2 linked regions of the Struthio camelus genome follow. The protein of the gene in region 2 interacts with the protein of the main gene of each other region in a pairwise test. Links are inferred from orthologs where the notes say so. Each region holds a gene or a part of one and is shown on either strand. Other genes may lie near its edges.

The links.
Region 1: the proteins of GCC1 (region 2) and CEP57 interact in binary tests that used the Homo sapiens proteins (3 or more experiments, as listed by UniProt). The two-hybrid records come from large-scale screens. The link is inferred for Struthio camelus from reciprocal best matches to the Homo sapiens genes GCC1 and CEP57.

What each region holds. Positions count from the first base shown.
Region 1 is NC_090942.1:211,615,801-211,626,083, forward strand, and holds the start of CEP57 (centrosomal protein of 57 kDa), read right to left. Parts: upstream 4,547-10,283; 5' UTR 4,218-4,546; coding exon 4,179-4,217; intron 1-4,178. Other genes in the region: protein FAM76B, read left to right, coding at 5,094-5,198, 6,035-6,099, 6,470-6,524, 7,954-8,109, 9,059-9,255. UniProt on the Homo sapiens protein: Centrosomal protein which may be required for microtubule attachment to centrosomes. May act by forming ring-like structures around microtubules. Mediates nuclear translocation and mitogenic activity of the internalized growth factor FGF2, but that of FGF1.
Region 2 is NC_090942.1:1,066,908-1,077,512, forward strand, and holds the start of GCC1 (GRIP and coiled-coil domain-containing protein 1), read right to left. Parts: upstream 4,983-10,605; 5' UTR 4,758-4,982; intron 4,644-4,757; exon of another isoform or gene 4,621-4,643; intron 4,415-4,620; exon of another isoform or gene 4,288-4,414; intron 4,132-4,287; 5' UTR 4,117-4,131; coding exon 3,070-4,116; intron 1,372-3,069; coding exon 67-1,371; 3' UTR 1-66. Other genes in the region: ARF5 (ADP-ribosylation factor 5), read left to right, coding at 5,581-5,647, 5,721-5,801, 7,890-7,999, 8,746-8,817. UniProt on the Homo sapiens protein: Probably involved in maintaining Golgi structure.

The sequences.
Region 1 (10,283 bases), about 210 Mb from region 2:
TATCTGCAAAGGAATTCCTTGCAGTTCACGTTTATAACATTTTCCTAAACAACATAAGCACTTTTCTTGGTATAATTGAATTTGTACAAGAGCTTTTGCCACCACAGAAAGCCAACAGAAATACTCATCCCTAATTAAGAATATATTTACAAAAATATTTTGAATAGTTTTTTGCACACATGCATATACACTCTCTGTTTTATGCCCCAGCAGCCATATGATCTAACTTTGTAAAACATTTAGTGCTAAAATTACAGGAAAGTCTGCTGGCAGCGAGATTAGATCCCACTCCTGCAAAAATACCATCAATGTTACAGGATGTTAAATTGCTACAAGCAGAATAATGAGTAAGATCAAACAACAAAACACAGAATTTATGCATCAGGCAGAGAGTAACAGCAGCCGCCAACGTAAGCCTCATCAGCCCAAAAAGGCAGAAAGTAGTTTTATCTATTGTCGAATCACAAGAAGCTATCCCATGAGCCAGTGGAAGAAAAGGTGCATTGGTTTTAAATCAAAGTAGGGCTGTCAGACATCTGAACTCTCCTAGATGTCTTCATTTTTCAGCTGTAAAGTTTTGTCTGTGCAGAACTAAAAATAATTACACTAAAAAAAAAATTGCTTTCTTCACTGGCTTAAGGGACACCTACTTAGGCAATAACGGACTAACTGAAAGGAAAAGCTAGCATACTTAAACATCAAGTTGCAAAGTTGCATTTCTCCAAAATACCACTTGAATACATTATGCATTAAAATTACGCATTAAAATTAATTTATCTTTGAATACTATAATACTCATTGCAGACATATGCTTGAAATAAATACTTAAAAATTCATGCTGAAGTAATATCCATATTATCGTTTAGACTGAAAGAAGGAATGATTGTCTAAAGAATCACATTAACAAGTATATTTTCTGTACACAATTGAGCACAAGACCATTTTATATTCCGTTTCACATATAAAAATGACTTCTAAACACACCTGAGCTGAAAAGTTTGAGAAAGCTTATGAAACGGCAGCAAGGAACTCAACACCACAAATTTCAGATTGCAATGTAATTCCCTGCTCTTCTCCTCCTCCCCGTTCTCCCAAGTCATTAAAAATTATTTTTAAGTCAGTTTTCTGCTCTTGGAAATTCTCATGGGGATCACCATATTGCGCATATTTTGGGAAAATCCTGAAACAGAGGAAACAAAAGTGTGACAATCAGGTAACTCTTTGTTCTTAATTATGAGCAGGCCATATCTGATGACTACACCTTATCCCCTCTTTTCGATACTCTATCTTCTTTCCATCCTTAAACCACACAGAAGCCTCATAACAACAAGCAAAGCAGCTTAGCAGTCCCACAGCAGCTAAGTGCAACAGTATTATGCTATGGTGGAGAACTGAACATATTTTAACCTTTACATATCTGAGGACATCATCTTCCAAAATTTATTTGTGCAGTCATTTCATATCGGCTGTCTGCTCAAGTACACAAGAAAGTATATTTAAGATGCAGACTAATAATAGCTTAATATACTAAGGTATATTAACCTTAGGAAACGGTGACCTCTTAAAGCTACCCAAGACTAAATGCAAAGGTCCAGAACATCAGAAAAGTTTTAACATAGGAACTAGCAACTAATGGCAGAAGTACACTTTTCAAATCAAGCACTTTTCGATGGAAAGGATAGTATGGCACACCAGCCATGAACAACCATCCAGACAACTATGAATCTTATTATACCAAATGCTTTAGAGTCCTATCACACTCAAGATTTCCCTGAAACAGCATGTCCATACTAAATGATCTCAGGGAGGGAAAAAAAGTACCTGATGTTTTGTTTTTTTTTCCCTCCTCACCATAATTTGACTAGATGTGGGGAGAGTAAAAATAGCAATGATTTATATACAAACTATAGAACCAAAGCAGCAGAAAAACACAGGAAGGTTCTGTCAGGCAATAACTGCAACAAGAAAGCATAAAGGCACCAAGATGGTGCCATTGGTACTAGCAGTTTGGCACTGGACAAAGGGAATAAGTCAGAGAAGGTGCTATTTTACAAGTTCTTATACATACATATATATACATATGTGTATATATATTCTATGAAAATATTTTAAAAGGTAATCGTCTGAAGCTGGATGATGCTTTCAATAACATCCTGTAGTCCTCATGTTTGATTAAAAAAAAAAAAAAAGAGCAGAAATGGGTGAAAATTATGCAGTTACTGAAGATTTCAGAACAGCCACTTGGGAGAGAATCTCTCAAGATCTAGTCTGCCATCTTCCCTCATTATTGGGGAAGGGGAGGGTGGAATAGACCCTGCCACTCAAAAACTAACTTAAGTGCTGTCTGTGCCCGAATGATACACAACTGAGTTAGGAACATTCTCAATTTAAACAAGATCTCTAGCTTAAAAAAAAAAAAAAAAAAAACTTGGTCAAGCCCTTACAGCAAAAAAGAAAAAATGTTAGCATGAGACAGTTTTTTTTTTTTAATTATTATTTTCTGCTGTAGGGTGTGGTAAAAGTCTGAACTTCATACTGATTTTAATAAAGTGAGAAGTCTGCTTTTCTTCTTTTTTGGGTCTTCACTGTTTACCTTCTGCGTGAGCAGATATGAAAAATATTCAGTGGAAAATTTTTTTCCTAAAAGCTTTGTTTTACTACTGTTCATTAACTTGAGGCTAAAACCCATTTTCTGACATCCTTCTCAATGCATCCTAGAAAAATACTAGTCAGGAAGGATATAGGAACCCTCACAACACTCTGTCACCTCTCTTAATACTGCAGGTGTACATCCCGGAACCACACTGCAGGAGGAGAAGGAGAAAGAGAAGAACAACCGAAAACCCTGAGCTGGGCTAGTTTTATCAAGCAGCTGATACTACTGAGACCCCAAATCAAGAATGCTCACAAGAAATACGTTTCCTACCACCATGCTGCATCTTTTTGCACCATCGCTGCACTTCCAAGTTGCTTACTCATAAGACACTGCTACTTGCAAAAGGATCCAACTTCGGAGAGCTACAAACATCAGACCGAGATGTCAGATGAGAAACCCAAATTGAAACTTCTGTTCCATGGTCTCTAGTTGCTTCCAGGCAGCCTCCACCCAGTTCAGCAAGCTCAACTATGCTAACTCTAGTCAAGCCTCAGTTTCTTCATACTGCTTTTCACAAAGCAGAGACACTAGTCTCATTTCTTCTCTAAGCACTGCACCTCAAGAAGAGCATAAAGAGTAATTTCTAGTGCCTTGCTTCTACTTACCTCTGCATTACTTCTGCATTAGCCAGGTTCTTATATACATACCTAAGGATGTGGTTACTTACCAAAACTAAATTGAGGTTTAGGCTAAGGTTTGGAGAGCATGCAGTAGACACACTACCAGCTCTCAAAAGGAACCGCTTGCAACCGGTTACAATTAAAACATAAGTGCATGATCAAACATCATGGAATTTTAGTGCCGAGCTGAGTCTCATCACATTTTGAAATAGGTGTTTCCAAAGTCATGTCCCCAGAACTGGTTCTGGAAACAGACTGTATTACCAAGTTTCATTCCCATGCATTCACTTACAAATCTACTCTTTGAATGCTCCTCCAGGGAAAAGGCCGCTTTTAAATAGCAGAGTATTTTTTCCCTTTCCTGATCCTCTTATAAGAGATGGGTACAGAATCATACTATGATTTTTTGATGTATATACACAGGACTTAAAAGACAGTTTCCACAGTCCACTTCGCTCCTGAAGCTCTGAGCCTGAACTCGAGGCTTGACCCTGAGCAACTATAACTCCCCGCCGCCTAATCGCGGTTCGCCCCGCGCTCACCGAAGAGCACGCCCCGCCAGCCGACACCACCAGATAGCCTTGTCGCACCGGCGCGGGACCGATTCGCCGCCCTTTTACTCGCTTCTAGCCGAAACCCTGCGGCCGCTCGTACCGTAATTCGGGTGAAACGGCGCCATTTCAGCCAGGCTGCCGGCCAGAGGCCCGCGGGCCCGTTCCCGCCCGCGGCTCTTCCCCCGGGGGCTGCCAGGGCCCCGCCACGAGCGGCCGGTAAAACCGGCCCGGTCCGGCGCGGCCGAGCGGGCTCGAAGGGCCGGGCAGCCCCCGGGGCCGGCCCCAAGGCGCCCCCACCAGCCAGGCCCCCCACCCTCACCGTCGCCCGCCACACCCGCCGAGCCTCACCGTGCGCTGATGGTCACCCCCCGCCGCCGCCGCCGCCATGTCCCCTGCGGGCCGCCCGCGCTACCGCATAGCCCTTTAAGGCCACAAGACCCGTGCAGCCTCCGCCGCTCCGCCCGGCCCCACAGCGACGCCTCCCGCGCCCGAACGTGCCGCTTGACTGGCGGCTCGGCCTGCCAATGAGAAAGGCGGAGCAGGGGTAAGCCCCACCCTGGACAGTTACGCGTTTACGTCATAAACTGAGGTTTGAGTGACATGCTCTCTATCCAATAAAGAGGAAAAAAAGCCATTCCTTAACCAATAGAAGGGGACAACTTGGGGAGGAGCGAGCGACCGCGGGATTCGTGTGCCGCGCAGGGCGCTTCCTGCGCACGCGCAGAGGGCAGAGAACGGAAGAGGATGGTCTTTGTCAAAATGAGCCCCTGAGCTGGAGCCAATGGGGAAGCCGAACTCGCCCAGAGCGGTCGAATCAGCGCGGCGCCCACGAGGCCACCCAATCAGCGGCAAGCGCAGGGCGGTGCAAGAGCGGTCGGATTGGCCGCGGCGAGGGCCGCGGGGGCGGCCATTGGGCGGCGAGTTTTGAAGGCAGGTTTGGCGCGAGGCGGTGATTGGCTGCCGCGGGAGCCCGAGCCCGGGGTGGAGGGAAGGGCGGGGGTGCAGGGTGACGCCGATGCCGACACCGACACAAGGGGGACGCGGCTCCGCGGCGCGGGCTCTGCGCGGGGCCTAGGGCGGCGCGGGCGCGGCGCGGCGGCGGGCGCGCTCCTGCGGCGCGGCGGCGGCGGCGGGGGGGGGGGAGGGGGGGAGCGCGGGCGGCTCCTTGGCGGCGGCCCAGGCGGCCGCTCCGGCCCTCGCCCCGGCACCTCCCTCTTCCCCTCCCTCGGCCCGCCCGTGTCCGCCCTGCCGGCCGCGGCGCGGATGGCGGCGGCGGCAGCGGCGGCCGCCCCGGCTCTCTATGCCTGCACCAAGTGCAACCAGCGCTACCCCTTCGAGGAGCTCTCCCAGGGCCAGCAGCTCTGCAAGGTGCGGCGAGCGCTGCGCCCGGCAGCGGCGGGCTGGGCAGGGGCGCTGAGGGGCGGCTAGCGGGACAGCGCCGGCCGCCGCCGGGGCTGAGCAGGGGCTGACCGGGCCCGCTTGGAGCGCCGCGCTGCTCCGCTCGCGGCGGGGCTGGGCTGCACGGGGCGGGCGGCGGCTCCCCGCGCGCGGCGGGAGCGCTCCGCGGCTGAGGGACGGTCGCTCCGCGGCTGACGGTGCCTCCCCGCGCGCGGCGGGAGCGCTCCGCGGCTGAGGGACGGTCGCCCCGCGGCTGACGGTGCCTCCCCGCGCGCGGCGGGAGCGCTCCGCGGCTGACGGTGCCTCCCCGCGCGCGGCGGGAGCGCTCCGCGGCTGAGGGACGGTCGCCCCGCGGCTGACGGTGCCTCCCCGCGCGCGGCGGGAGCGCTCCGCGGCTGAGGGACGGTCGCTCCGCGGCTGACGGTGCCTCCCCGCGCGCGGCGGGAGCGCTCCGCGGCTGAGGGACGGTCGCCCCGCGGCTGACGGTGCCTCCCCGCGCGCGGCGCGCAGCCTGGCCCCCGGGAGGCGCCTCAGGAAAGCCGCCCCTTTACGAGGGCCGGGTTTGGGGTTTTGGCACTGGCAGCCCTCTGTTTCCTGCGGAGGATGTTTTTGCTGTTTACCCCGGTCGGTGAGACAGGTCTGGTGAAGGGAGGCACCCGCCAGCCTGGCGGAGCGCTTTTCAAGCAGCGGCGTGTGTAGTGAGCTGTGCGAGCCGCTTCTAGTGCGAAAGGTGGAAGGTCAAGTGAGGGCACTCATTTGGTTGCGTGTGTTTTTACTTACGCAGCCGCCACTCTCTTTCTTTTTAGGAATGTCGCATCGCACATCCCATTGTAAAATGCACTTACTGCCGATCGGAATTTCAACAAGAGAGGTATGAAAGTAATTCAGTCGTTGGAAAGCGTACTGCACAGTGCTGTTCTAGTGCCTTGGGTTATCAGTGTGTCTGCAGAAAGAACAGCTGTTTCTGCAGTCATAACTGTTTGTAACAACAGAAATTCACAGAGAGAGGGGAAAATATTAAACTCTTGGAAGACCATTGAACCACAGTAAAATAACCTGTCTGCTCTAGTGACCCAAGTGTGTCGTGTAAACACAGTACAATGGCAGGTCACTTTGTCTGCTTATCATTCACTATTTACTATAGCGTATATTTGCATGTGTGTTTTTTAATAATTGCATGGGAAAGAATTTCCAGGTCCATGTATGTCACTGAATTCAACATTATGCAATTTTATCTTTAGCAAAACTAATACAATATGCAAGAAATGTGCCCAAAACGTGAAGCAGTTTGGAACGGTGAGTAGGCTCTTAATTCTGAAAACTGAACTCAGGTTCGTTCACATTCTAAAAGAAAAAATCTTTTAGGAATTAAATTTCTTATTTTCCTTTGACAAAGAAAAATAGATTTTGGAAAAGTGATGAAGATTATTGCCAGCTCTTGAATTCCTTCCTCGCTTACAGTTCCTTTTTTCAAAATAAAATTCATTGTGATTATATATAGTGTAACAGTTATGAATAACTGCAATACAGCTATTCATAGCAAAAAGAATGTTATCTCACTTTATGCATGTAAAATAATTCTTTGCATATTCTCGTAAGCAAACATTTGACATCAGAAAGATGTTTAGATGTGTTTTTAATGAGTGGTTAAATGTGAAAAGCTGTATGATTTTTTTTATATGATGTGAGTATTAAAATTTTTAGAGGCTTGTTAACCGTATTAAGGTGTTAAGTATTAAAGGTTCATGAGTATTATTTGTATTAATGTTATTTTGCGTTTTCTCAGCTTTAATTGCAGCTTCACTTCTGTTAGAGAACTTTTTCATATATGAATACACAAATTCTGCATTGCATCTTAGTGTGCTGCAGGTATTAGTTTATAAAAGGTGTTGAGATAATCTTCGTGAAACAGAAGTGCTTGACTTCTATGTGCTTAGCATACACCATATTACATGAAATTCAGCTTATTGGAGAAACATGACAGATGTTGGTATATAGTCAGGCATTTTGTAAATGTAAAGTGGAACAAAAAGAATGTTCTTTGAAAGTCTTAAAATATTGTACAATGAAATATAATACAGAGCCAACAACATTTTTAGCAACAGTTAATTAAAAAAGGAAACTGCATTGAAGATAATCAGCCATTTCTGACTAAAGAAAACTGCCAGAAAACTACTATCTTCTAGTTTTGTATTACTCTATGATATAAAAGCTGATAATCTGATCTAAAGGTATCTGAAGGTTTGTTAAGTTTCTTACAGAGCTGCAGGGACAGAGATGCTAATCTTGGAGCCATAGGGTGCTCAAATCCCCGAGTAATTCAAGTAGTTTGGAAACTGGGGCCTAAAAATGGCTTGATTACTTATTTAAATTTTATTTAGGTAGCTGCTTTAGTAATGCTGTAAAAGAGAGGAGAAGATGCTGTCATATTAAAAAAAGGGAGGGAGGGAAAAATGAGCAGTCAAAATGTATGTGTGTTCTTCAATGAATAGAATCTCAGGTGTTCGTAGAAGGCCCAGAGTTTCTTTGACAGTTGAAGGACCACTACCTTAGGGGAAAAAGTTAGTGTTGAAGGTAGAACCAGTAAAGAAAAAGGATTTTGAGAGATGGATCGTATGAAGCCCTAGTAGTTTAGAAGTATTGTTGTGTGATTTGAAGTATCTGCACTAGCTCATTATGGAAACCGTAAATATATTAACTTTTGTTCCACTTACCTGTTTTTCAGCCCAAGCCTTGTCAGTATTGTAATATTATTGCAGCATTTATCGGCACAAAATGTCAGCGTTGCACAAACTCAGAAAAGAAGTATGGCCCACCTCAGACATGCGAACAGTGCAAACAGCAATGCGCTTTTGATCGAAAAGAGGAAGGAAGAAGGAAGGTATGTTTTGCTCCAGATCTGTAATGGCTTAGGCTGACAATCGAAGACACTTCTACTTCATAAGAGGAAGATTAACAGGAGGGTATCTGAAGTTCACTAATATCAGGTTAAAGTCATTGTGTTGTGCTTTTCAGTATTTGCATTAAATTCCACAAGTTAGAATCATTACGTTAGCTATTGGGCTAACTTATTTTAGAGTGAATCGTTCTTTTTTTAATAAGCTTAAGAGTAAGCTGACAGTAGTATTTGATGAACAGAGGTTAAGTAGCTGAGTTGTTCTTGGTGCTTTGGGTTTTTTTCCCCATCCGTCGTATCCTATGTGTGTCATAAACTTGAATCTGTCAGTTCACCACTTCCGATCTGCCTGCCTTGTCTTAAAAGTGTAGCACCAGAGAGAGGTAGACTGCTCTGAGCAGCTGTTTGTATTCTACTTTCTTAAATAGCTTTGGTGAGTGCCACTTTCTCATTCCAGAAGGTGCTGAGGAAATCACCTCATAAACCTCTTGCCTGAACTCAAGAATAATGCTGTTTTTACAGAAGAATTTACTCGGTACAAGTAATACATTGACTGGACATCTTGATTCTGCTCTGGAATACGATGGGTTGAGAGCATAGATGGTGTCTAAACCAAAAATGATTTACCCCTTAAAAAAGTCATTCTCACTTTTATGATACAGAGTGGGTCTGTTATTATTAGCAATAACAAATATTTGCTAAAACTGTCTTGTAGCATAACTTTAAATGCCAAAAAGAAATGAGAAGAGATTCGCTATATTAAATAATACCATGCATATATTTGAGGATATGCTATTGCTGTTTCATGCCAAAGAGAGGTCTAGATTTTTCTTACAGATAACAAACAGATAAAAAGATTTTCTGGCAAATACTAAGGTACATCTTTCTAGTGCAAGTATACTTGGAAACAAAATTGTGAATTATTTCCCAAAAGGTTGATGGAAAGTTACTGTGTTGGCTCTGCACACTGTCCTACAAGAGAGTACTACAGAAGACAAAAGAACAGAGGAAGAGCCTAGGATCGTCACATTCTAACTCCTCATCCTCATCTCTTACTGAGAAGGACCAGCATCATTCAAAACACCACCACCATCACCACCATCATCACCGCCACAGCAGTAGTCACCATAAGTAAGTATTAAAACTTAAAATAGCTGTTGATGCGTCTTCCTGTTCCACGTTCTCTTAGTACTAAGGTCAAATTAAAGGAAATAAGAAACACTGTTTAAAATAAGTTATTGAAGGTCGTTAGTAGAATGTTTTTGTTCCTGTTGAAGTCTTTGTGTTCTTGCAAATTAGATAAACAGAAATCAACGAACAGCAGAAAGTCCTGGTGATCTTAAAAATTATTGATGTTAAAGTTGATAGAAGGTCTAGGAAAGAAATCTGGAGAATGGCTGCAGAAACAAGTTACTTGAGGATAAATTAGAATTTGGATTTCTAAGCAGTAACTGCTAACTTGCAGGCGTTTACCACGGGTTCAAACACATGTCGTGGCAGCCTGGAATAGCTATTTCGCTTGGAATCTTAACCCGAACTTACTTCATTGTGACAAACATGTTTGCCCATACTCCTAGTTAATTGTGATGGGGTACTTGCCTGAGAAGCCTAAGCAATGGTGTAGAATCACCCTCAGTCAAGGACGAGTTTACGTGTCTCTGGCAGTTGTTATAATCAAATCCTGCTGGAACAGGCAGTATTAAGTGACAGTTCATGAGTGACTGCCATGCAGACACAGGAAAACGACATTGTCAGTTCAGTTATTGGCACTCTGATAACGTTTCACATAATTACATCTCATCTCGCAACTTTTCTCAACATGCTTTTCTCTGGCTGTGGCATTAACAGCATACAAGCTTTAATTTACATACTCAGTTTATCCAGTCGTAAATCCCAGGACTGATTTGTTTCTTTTTCTTGCTAATATAATAGCGATTATGTGATTCTTATTTTTATTAGTAGGATTATGGCAGCATACTTTAAAACTACTTATTTTCTTCTTTCTTTTTTGTGCTGGATAATGAAAAATATAGCTGCAATGGTAATGATCCCTGTCATGAAGGAACACACAAACGCTTTCATTCTGAGCTTCACTTTTCCAGTGCTTATAACTTTCCATTTTGACCGTAATTTGTCTCACCAAGCATGATTTAAAAGCA
Region 2 (10,605 bases):
GATTTGGCTTTAGATAATAACCAGAAACATGTTATAGAAAAACTGTTATGGGTAAAAACTACCATCTCATCTCTTCCCAGAAAGCCACCAGCTACTGTAAGCTGACTGTTTTGTAATAGCTTGCTTTTCTTCTGGGCTGAAATGCAGAATAGTCAATATGGCAGTTAGAGTCTGTTGGCGACCAAGAGAATCTGGCAGTGTTAAAAATCTATAGACAATGTTCTTGAGGTATTCCAAGTTGGCTCCCTCTCTGCTCTTATCTCTGAAATTCTTCTGGATTTCATTTTGAAGCACGGACACCTCTTCCCGGTGCTTCTCCTCCTCAACCAGGATCTTCTCCTGGAGCTGGTGAACTTCCATTTCCAGCTTGTGCTTCTGCTTCCTCAGCGCTACAATTTCCACCTCTTTGCGAGCCAGCTGCTCTGCATACAAGAAGAAGGTGGGCTCACTGGTGGCAGCGAGATGAAGAGCCTGGGGGAGATTCTCTGAAGAATCGTTACCTGATGAGTCATTGCTGGTAACATCAGTCCCTGATGCTAGGTAGTTTTTGGATCCTTGAAGCCCATAAGACAACGTGACAGATCTCAGCTGCTCCAGTTCTTGGTCCTTTTCTGCCAGCACAGCCAGTGCTCGGTCCCGCTGTTTGTGCATTTCTTCCTCCAGTTTCAGTGTCCGTTCCCTGTAGTCCAGCTGGCATCGCTCTAATTCCTGCCTGTGAATTTGCTGCAGCTGGGACAGCTCTTGCCTCTTGGCTTCCATATCTTGCTGGTGCTGCTTCTCCATTTCCTCAGAGGACAGTCGAAGTACAACATATTTCTCTTTCAGATCAGCCAGCTGCTCTTGAGCTTCCTCCAGTTCTTTAGCCAGATTGCCATCTTTGGCTGACTTGTTCTTGAGGACCACTTGTGCCCTCATCTTGTACCTTTCAAATTCTTCCTTCAGCTGCTTTAGCTCCTGCTGATAGTACAAAGCAGTTGCCTTCTCGCCATCCCCAGTCTCAGTGCCCTTCGGCAGCTCCAGCTCACACAGCTTCTCGAAGTCCAGAGCAGGCTGACTCTTCTTAGCTGCTGCCTGCAATAGCTTCTTCAGCTTCTCCATTTTATCCTTTAGCACATTCACATCAAGGTTGCTTTCTTCTAGATGAATATCAGCAGGAGAGCGGCTGGACGCAGCAATGGCTAGGGTTTTGTTCTCCAAGTCCAACTGTACAATGCGGTCCTTCAGTTTCTGAATGACCATTTGGTCTTTCTGCTTGGCTTTTTCGTAAGTGCCAAGTAGTTCGGACACTTCGGAGACCTGGCCCTCCAAACTAGCCACTCGCCGCTCCTCCATCTGGGCGTGCTGGCGGAGCTGCTCCTCTGCCTGTGCAGTCTGAGAGCAAAGAGACACGGGAGGGTTAGATTACCTCAACACTCTCTGCAGGAGGTCTGCAGTTTACCCAGGGGCTTAATTCTGCTCTGATGAATTCCAGGCAAGGGCTGAGCCATCCTTTCCCCTAAAATCCTGTACAAGCCACTACGCTGACTTGCCCGTATTGAAAAGGGAGATTCAAGGATAAAAGAAACCAAAGGCATTTTTGTTTTTACTCCCAGTCCTCCAACAGAATTCCTGTCAGCAGTGTTATCTGTATTGCTACAGGTTGGTGGGGGGTAGGAAAAAGCAAATTCATGTCACAGTCTGACATAGGATGTTTAAAAACATGCACGTGCTTTAAAACTCTCATATCTCAAACTACAATTTATTTAAATGCTATGCTTTGTTGCACTGGTATTAACATAATTCAGTGGTTCCTGAGTAACTACAACAAACACCTGGTGCTCACAGTTTTTATGGCTATCGAGAGCCAACTGTCTAATAGAAAATTTGAATGGCAGCACTTGACTGACCATCACGAATTAAAGCATAACTGGGGTCAGATCATTGTCACCTCTGTCAGAGAACGTGTTGCAGATACCGTCCAAAAAGAGGCAAATAGCGTGAAATCAGCCTAGTCCCTAATTAGACCCTTCAGATTAGAAAGGAGAAAACGTGTTCCACGCCGAGGGATGAGGAGGATACCATTCTGGAGTGCTTCCGGCTGCAAATTCAGTTACTGGTGCCATCTCCTGAGCACGTTGCCCCACAACCCACAGAGTTACACAGGTTCCTCTTTTACATCACATCCCTTGTTCTAGCTCTTTTCTCTCCCCACATGCATGCAGGCAAGAGCCTTTTTCTCATATTTACCTTTCTTCTTTCCCCAGAGCTCTTCAAACTTCACTGAAAAGTAACCCCAGGCCCTTCAATAGCACAGGCCACGAAGCTCCCTGGGCTTACGCTAGCCAAACCAGTTTATGTTGTTCCCATCAGCACGGATGGGCTGTCACCTTTAGCTGCACAGCATCTTTCACAATGGATCAGACAAGAACCTCTGCAGTTTGATAGCTTTTGTCACAGCAGCTGTGAAATTCACAGAAATCTCTCATCTGCCATGCTGTAGAATAGGAAAAGGGAAAGATGGTTTCATGACTTCAACAAGCAAGTAGTGCAGGCCCTGAAGACGAAGGCATGAGAGGCCTTATTTCACAATTATCTCCACACTCATCCGGGGAAAGTCCTACCGATTTACAGAACATTGCATTAGAAGTTATTTCCTTTTATGAGCTACAGTAGTTGTACCTTGCATTGCCCTTAAATACTTTACAAGGACAAGAGCACATTCATTGCCACAGTGAGTCAAAGCAAAGGTCTCTCCTCCCATCCCAGCCACTATCACACCAGATGATAACGTGTTCAGAACCTAATGACGCTCTAGAGGATAGCCACAGCCCAAGCACCTCATAAAGGCTGCTCCCAACGCCCATGGTCATTAGCCCCTGCATAGTATGACTTACACACTGAACCACAAACAGCCTTTATTTTCCTCAGGGAATACCGTCTCATCAAATAAAGCCATGATGTTCTTACTTATTTCAAACTTCTTGGACAGGGAAGGGAAATTGTGCCGCCACTCCAGTCAAACCCTGCCCCCTGACTGCTGCTGCTATGTCCCGCAGAGTAAGCTGCTCAAGCACACAGCCAGGGAATTACCTTTCTCATCTCTTGCAATAGCTGCACTTGGAAGTGATTCTTGAGACTGGCCATCTCCTCCTGCAGATCCTGTATCCGTGGGTCTGGTTTGTTGCTCTCTTCCTGCACAGTTTGCAACTCTTTTTTCAGGTCTTCTACCTCCTGGCTCAGCTGCTTGATCTGCAGTTCATACCCCTCCGCACGGTCAGCCAGGCATACCCTCCCAGCCAACAGCTCCCTGGTCTCCTCTAGCTTTAGCTCTACGTCCTGGCGTGAAGTCCTCTCAGTCTGGAGCAGCTTCTGCAGCTCTCGCAGCATAACAGCGTGGTCACCCTGTTCTTGGGCTCGGTCATGCTGCTGTGTGATCAGACGGGCTTTGGTCTCTGCTAACTGTTCCTGGACAGACTTCAGCTCGGTCTCCAACTTGTCCCTCTCATCCTCTGCTTTCTTAACGGCATCATCCAGGTCTTGTTTCATCTTCTTCTTGTCTGCTTGGTATGAAGCTTCCATGCGAGATTTCTCCTGTGTGACTGTGGACAGAGCACTGGTCAAGGTGGCCAGCTGAGTCTTCAGCTGGAGCACTCTTTTATCAGCCTCACCAGCAGATGATGGCACATCTCCGCTGTTTGTGCTGATGCCGCTCTCTGAACCGCTTGTCTCCTCTGATTTAAGAGAGGAGGCAGTGGCCGCAGGCTTATCATCCTCAGCTCCTGGTTCAGCTTTGGTACTGGCCAGACTGGCAGCCGTGTCTGCACTGGTGGCTGTCCCCACGCTATCCTCACTGTGAACAGAACTCCTGTCATCAGCAGAATCGGCAAAGGAAGAGCTGGAGCTTGCCACAGACGCAGGGTGAGCTCCACTCAAGCCAACATCTGCCTCATGAGACACGGACAATACTTTCAAGCTAGCTTCCAAGGCCTCCTTTTCTTTGAGCAAGCTCTTGTAGGCTCTGACAACATCCTTCAGCCGAGCCTGGTACTGAAGAAGCTGCTTTTTCTGAGATTCAATAGTTTCTAGAAGATCTTTTTTACTTGGGCCACCTCCGAAGTTCATGCCAAACTTCTCCATGATGCCCTGTGCGATCTGAAACGAGAAGGAGAAAACCAGTGCACAGGCTAAACAAAGAGCAAAGACATATTTATGATTAACAGGAGCAGGTTGCTCATCAGGACCAGCATGCTGGACTCCCCCTGGGACACCAGTTAATGACCCTGTAACAGAACAGCCTAAGAAACATACTGGGCTGCTGTTAGGCCGCAGAAGGGTTGAGGTGGGCAAGGACCTCTGGAGACCGGCTGGTCCAACCCCCTGCTCAAGCAGGGTCACCGAGAGCACGTTGCCCAGGATCGCGTCCAGGTGGGTTTTGGAACATCTCCAAGGAGGGAGGCTCCACAACCGCTCTGGGCAACCTGTGCCGGTGCTCTGTCACCCTCGCGCTGAAGAAGTTTTTCCTCATGCTCAGACAGAGCTTCCTGGGCTTCAGCCGGGGCCCGCTGCCTCTCGTCCTGTCACCGGGCCCCACCGGGGGGGGGGGGGAGGGCCCAGCCGCGCACCGCCAGCCCGGAGCCCTACCAAGGGGGCCTCTCCCGGGCCGCCGGGGCTGGGGGAGGCATCGGGGCAGGAGAGAGGGCAGCGACGGGCCGCCGGGGGCGTCCCCAAACCCCCCCTCCCGCTCCCGGCCCGCGCCGCCGCCGCCGCCCGGGCCTCACCTGCAGGCCGGCGGGTCGCAGCCTCCACTGCGCAGGCGCGGAGCCCCCCCCCCCGCCGCCCGCCGCGGCTCAGTGCGCACGCGCCAGACCGCCGTTTTTTTTCCCCCCCCGCCTCCTCCACCCCCTCCCGGGAGATCGGACTGCGCAGGCGCGAACCGCACCGAGGCGCGAGGGCGGCGCCTGGCGGGGCGCCCGTCACAATCCGCCGGGGTGAGATTCCCCCTCCCCCCCCCCTCCCCCGGGGCATGCGCACATGGGGGCGACACGCCACAGACGCGCCGCGAGCGCCGCCCGCGGAGCCAATGGGCTTCAATGCGCAGGCGCAGCCCCGCCCCCCGGGGGGGCCAATACGCCATCGGCAGCAGGGGCGGGGGCGGAAGTGGGCGGGGCTTCCGTGGGGACGGGAGCGGGGGGGGGGTGCGCGCGCGCGCGCGCGTCAGAGGGAAGGGGCGAGGCCCATGGAGGCGTGTCACGGCGAGGGGCGGGCCTAAATAACCCCGGGGGCGGGGCTTCTCCGGCGGGGCGCCGTAAGGCAGGGATGAGGCCGAGGGGGCGGGGCTTCGTCCAAGGGGGCGTGGCGGCCGGGGGGGCGGGCCCGAGGGGCAGGAGGCGGGCCCGGGCGGCGCGGGGGCGCAGGGAGCGGGCGGGGCCTGGCTAAGAGGGGGCGGGGTCTAGCTAAGTGAGGGCGGGGAGGGGGCGGGGTCTGGCGGGGAGGGGGCGGGGCCTGGCGGCGAGGGGGCGTGGCGCGGCGCGGCGGAGCGCCGAGGCAGCGGGGCCGTCGCGTCCCTCCCCTCCCGCCGCCGCCGCCGCCGCCGCCGCCGCCATGGGCCTCACGGTGTCCGCCATCTTCTCCCGCATCTTCGGCAAGAAGCAGATGCGGATCCTCATGGGTGAGCGGCGGGGGCGGGCGGCGGGCCGGGGCCGGGCCTGGGGGCACCGGTGACCGCCGCCTCTCTGTTGCAGTGGGGCTGGACGCCGCCGGCAAGACCACCATCCTCTACAAGCTGAAGCTGGGCGAGATCGTCACCACCATCCCCACCATCGGTGAGTGGCCGCCGCCGGGCCGCCCCCGGCCGCCCCCGGCCCTGGACGCGGCTGGCGTCGCCGGCCCGGTGCCCCGTCCGCGTGCCGGGGGCTGCCGGCCGGCTGGGAGGGTGGTCCTGGCCCGGCGCGGTCGAGCGGCCCTACCGCGCGGAGGCCGGGGGCCTCGGCAGCGCCTGCCGCCTCCCGCCTTTGCAGCCTTGCCGGGCGCGCCGCCTCGCTCGGCGAGCAGGGTTGGCTTGTGGGCCACCTTGCGCTCGCGCAGCTTGGTTTGCGGCTCCTCATCTGCCTTGTGTTGGCAAGCGCTGAACTGAAGCCCTTACGTCAGCGTGATCTTGCTTCGGTCTGGTTCAAAGGCACTTCGCTTGGCGAGGAGGCCGCCACGTGCTGTTTTCAGAGCCTGCCCGAGCTCTAAAGGCAGGACAGGTTGTTGTTCCTGCCGGCGCACGGGTGGAAAGCCTTTAGGGAGGCTTTCAACGCTGTCTCCCATAACATCTCAGACAAACTGGTGAAGGACACGCTAACTAAGTCAACTGAAATCTGGCTAAACTGCTGGGCTCAGAGGGTTATGATGAGTAGCACAAAGTCCACCTGGAGGCCGGTCACGAGTGGTGCGCCCCAGGGGTCCATACTGGGGCCAACACTCTTTAACACCTTCGTTAATGACCTGGGTGGTGGGACCGAACGCACCCTCAGCAAGTTTGTAGACAATGCAAAAGGGGGAGGAGTGGCTGATACCCCAGAGGGGCCTCAAGAGGCTGGAGAGATGGGCAGAGAGGAACCTCATGAAGTTCAACACAGGGAAGGGCAGAGTCCTGCCCCTGGGGAGCAATAACTCCAGACACCAGGACAAGCTGGGGTCTGCAGCCAACTGGCTGCAGAGCAGCCTTGCAGAGAAGGCCTAGGTGGTCCTGGTGGGACAACAAGTTGAACATGGGTCAGCAACATACTCTTACAGCAAAGGTGGCCAGTGGCCTCCTGGGTTGCATTAGGCAGAGCGTTGCTAGCAGGTCGAGGGAGGTGATCCTTCCCCTCTGCTCAGCCCTGGTGAGGCCACACCTGGAGTGCCGAGTCCAGGTCTGGGCTCCTCAGGACAGAGAGGCATGGACCTGCTGGAGCATGTCCAGCAAAGGACCACAGAGATGATGAAGGAACTGGAGCATCTGTCATATTAAGAAAGGCTGAGAGAGCTGGGACTCTTCAGCCTGGAGAAGAGAAGACTCAGGGTGGTGTCTTATTCGTGTGACTAAAGAGCTGAAGGTAAGATGTTAAGAAGATGTGCCAGACTCTTCTCAGTTGTGCCCGGTGACAGGATAAGAGGCAGTGGGCGCAAGCTGAAACACAGGAATTTCCACTTGAACACAAGAAAACACTCCTTCACTGTGAGGGTGACTGAGCACTGGAACAGATTGCCCAGAGAGGTTGTGGAGTCTCCATCCTTGGAGATATTCAAAATCCACCTGGACACGATCCTGTGCAATGTGTTCTACATGACCCTGCTTGAGTTGGGGATTGGACTAGATGATCTCCAGAGGCTCTTCTCAACCCCAACTGTTCTGTGATTTTTGGTACATGAGTATCAGCCACATCTGGGCTGCTGAGGTTTTCAAGGGGATGTTCCCAGGGGCTGGCTGGTGAAATCATGCAGTGCTGGTCCTGGAGAGCTGGCAGGGCCAGGATAGACTTGCTGGGCAATGCTTGTGAGCGTGGGGATGCTCAGCTTGCAGAGTGAGCAGGCTGAGGGCAGGAAGCTCTGCAGCATGTGTTTCCTAGACCCTCTGCACAGCCGAATTGTGTTAACAGTGCGGTGCTGGGGGTAGAGATGCTCCCTGGGGATTGGTGGCAGATGAATGCAGCAGTGCACCTTGGTCTCCCTTCCTGCACTCCTGAGACACCAGTGGGTGTTGTATGCCTGATGCTGCATCATCTCCCTGTGCGATTCTCTGTCCCGCAGCTCAGAAACACAGAGTTTGATCAGACTAGGGCTGCTGCCTCCTGTGTCTCTTGCCTGTGGTCTGAGAGCCCTGAGGCTGCCAGCAGGATTGACAGTGTGTGTGCTGTCACTTCTTGCCCTTCCTGCCACCCCTGCAGGGTTCAACGTGGAGACAGTGGAGTACAAGAACATCTGCTTCACGGTCTGGGATGTGGGTGGCCAGGACAAAATCCGCCCCCTGTGGAGGCACTACTTCCAGAACACGCAGGTACGTGCCGCCGCAGGCCACGGTGGATGTGGCTGTTGCATGGGGACCCCTTCAGGCCTCTGTGCTGCTGGGGGGGCGAAGGGTCATGGGCCCCCACATCTGCAACAAACGCTGTTCTGGTCGGTGGGATGAACCTGCTCCCCTCTTAGCAAAAGAGGGCATTGCGTGGGGAAAGGTCGAAGCTCATCGTCACCTCTGGTCCTCGAGTGGCTGGTGGCAGGCTTTCTTCCTCCTAACGAGGAACTGAGCAGGGAGCTCGGCTGAAGTCACTCTCGTTCCCTCGTGTGCAGGCATGTGCTTTGGGATTAGAGGAAATCTGGGATAGTGCTTGGTTGAACTTCATGACTTGTAGCGATGCAGGGTCCCAGCAGCCTGTGGTCCCTTGGAGCTTCTGGCATGATCCTGCCTGAACTGAGCGTGTGAGTGGCTGCAGGAAATAATTCCTGGCTCCCAGTGCAGTGAGCCAGATGGGTCCCTAAGGACTGTATCTGGATATTTCCCTCAGCTCCTTAGCAGGAAGAGAAGTGTCTGAGATAAGAGTCCTTCAGAGGACTAGGTGTAGGACTAATTGGGCAAGGTTAATCACCCTTGCTGCTCTGGTTCGGCATGGGCATGGGCTGAGGAGGGCTTGGCAGGCAGCTGAGTTGTTCTCTGTTTGTCATGGGGTGTCTGTAGGCTGCCCTGACATCTACCTCCTCGCTGGGCCGGGCACAAGCTGCCTGCTCCAACCTTGACTTCTCTTACAGGGCCTCATCTTTGTTGTGGACAGCAATGACCGTGAAAGAGTGCAAGAGTCTGCAGATGAGCTGCAGAAGATGGTAAGTGTTGGCGGGAACTGCGTGTGCCCGGCTGAGAGATCTGGTCTTGCACGGAGGCTGGCTTGCCCTGGCAGAGGGGGCTGTTGCATTGCCAGCCTGGCTGTCCTGGGGCACAGAAAGTATCTGCCCCAGCCCTGCAGAAGTGCCTTTGTGCCAGCATGAGGCAGGGACTGGAGCATTCACCAGTTTTTGTCAAACGACTTGTCTCTCCCTGTGAAAAGGAGCAGCAAGCGTCTGTCTGCTGACACAGAGATTGCTTCCCAGGAGACAAGGTTTAAGGATCAGACGACAATTCTAATCTACCAGGCAGAGGCTTAAACTGTAGTGATCAGGAGCAATTGCAAGAGGGGTAAAAAACACAAGAAAACACAGTTAAGAAAACACAGTTCTTGGTTATACTTAGGGCTTTCTTTAGCTGAGGCACTGAAACGGCCAGTGCAGGAGCCTGCTGCTCTCAGGTTATTGTGTTCTGAACGTTCCCTGAGTCCACGAGGAGCCCACGCACAGTGTGGCGGCAGGCGAGTGTTTGGAGCACTCTCCAAAGCGCTCTCCTGTGGCCTGTGTCAGGGTTGGCAGGAGGGGTGGGAAGGCTGGGGAGGCTGGAGGTCTGGGTGCCCTCGGGCACCGGCATGCAGTCCCCAGTCACCTTCTCAGTGGGATCTGGTTGAGGGGTGAGCTGGGGCTGCTCATCCCAAACGTGGGAACTCTGTTTTGGGACACGATGTCACACGTCCTGGGAGGCCTCTCGCCGTAACCACGCTGCTTTCCCTGTGCTCTGCATGGCCTCACTGCTAGCCTCGAGCTGCCCGGGGTGCTAACGTGCTTCGAGAGCTGAGCTCTTGGGACGTGGAGCAGTGGACTGCTCAGTGCTGCTCTGAATGTGCTTTCCCTGCCCCGATGGAGGTGCATTTAGCTGCTGATTTTCCAAGCCTTTTAGCTGCCACAGGGCCAAACTGCGTGGGGCACGCGTAGAAACCATCTCTGTGTCAGCCTGGCTCCTGTTTTCACTGCCCGCAGAGACCGGGGTGAGTGAGCATGCTAAAACCTTGTGCACATGAGGAGGGGAGGCAGCTTCCAGAAATGCCATCCAAAAGCCAGTTTGCAAGGTGGGGATTGTTTACTCCTTGGCTTAACAGTCTTGGTGGGTTCAGGGCATCCTTGGGGTGGAAAGCTGCCACAGAACTGAGCGTGTAACAGCCTGTGAGCAGGGCAAAAGGATGGGATCATTCGCACTGACCCCATTCTGCTGTCGAAGAGCTCCATTGTATTCACAAGACAGATTTTCTTCTGCGTTTGTAGGGGAGAGCCTGATAGCCTGGTACCTCTGATGTTAGATAACATGTTTCTGGCAGTGATCTCAGTCCTGGAGGTGCTTTTCTTCTGTCTCCTGTACAGACAGAAAGAGCAGCGTCCTCCCAGTTACGGCTCCCCTGGAGCTTACCCCACATCTGCCGCTGTGCCTCCCTTTCCCTCCCGTGGATTTGAGCGCTCCAAAGCCGAGGTCTCCTTTGTGAAGAGCACAGCTGCTCCTGGTGGAAAGGCCCAGAGACATCTGTTCCTCACGGCTCTGGCTCTCATGCAGGGTTTGGAGACCTGCTGCAGAGCCGGTAACTGACCTGTGCAAAAGTGCTGTTAACACAGCACTCAGGAGCTCCAGCAATGGGGGTCTCTGCTGAGACACCGATGGATCTGCACTGCAGAAACCCTGAGCTTTTCCATGCTATGGGGATCCTGCGCAGGGTCCCTGGGTGTCTGTCCTGTGCAGTCTCACTGTGACAGTCCCAGTGC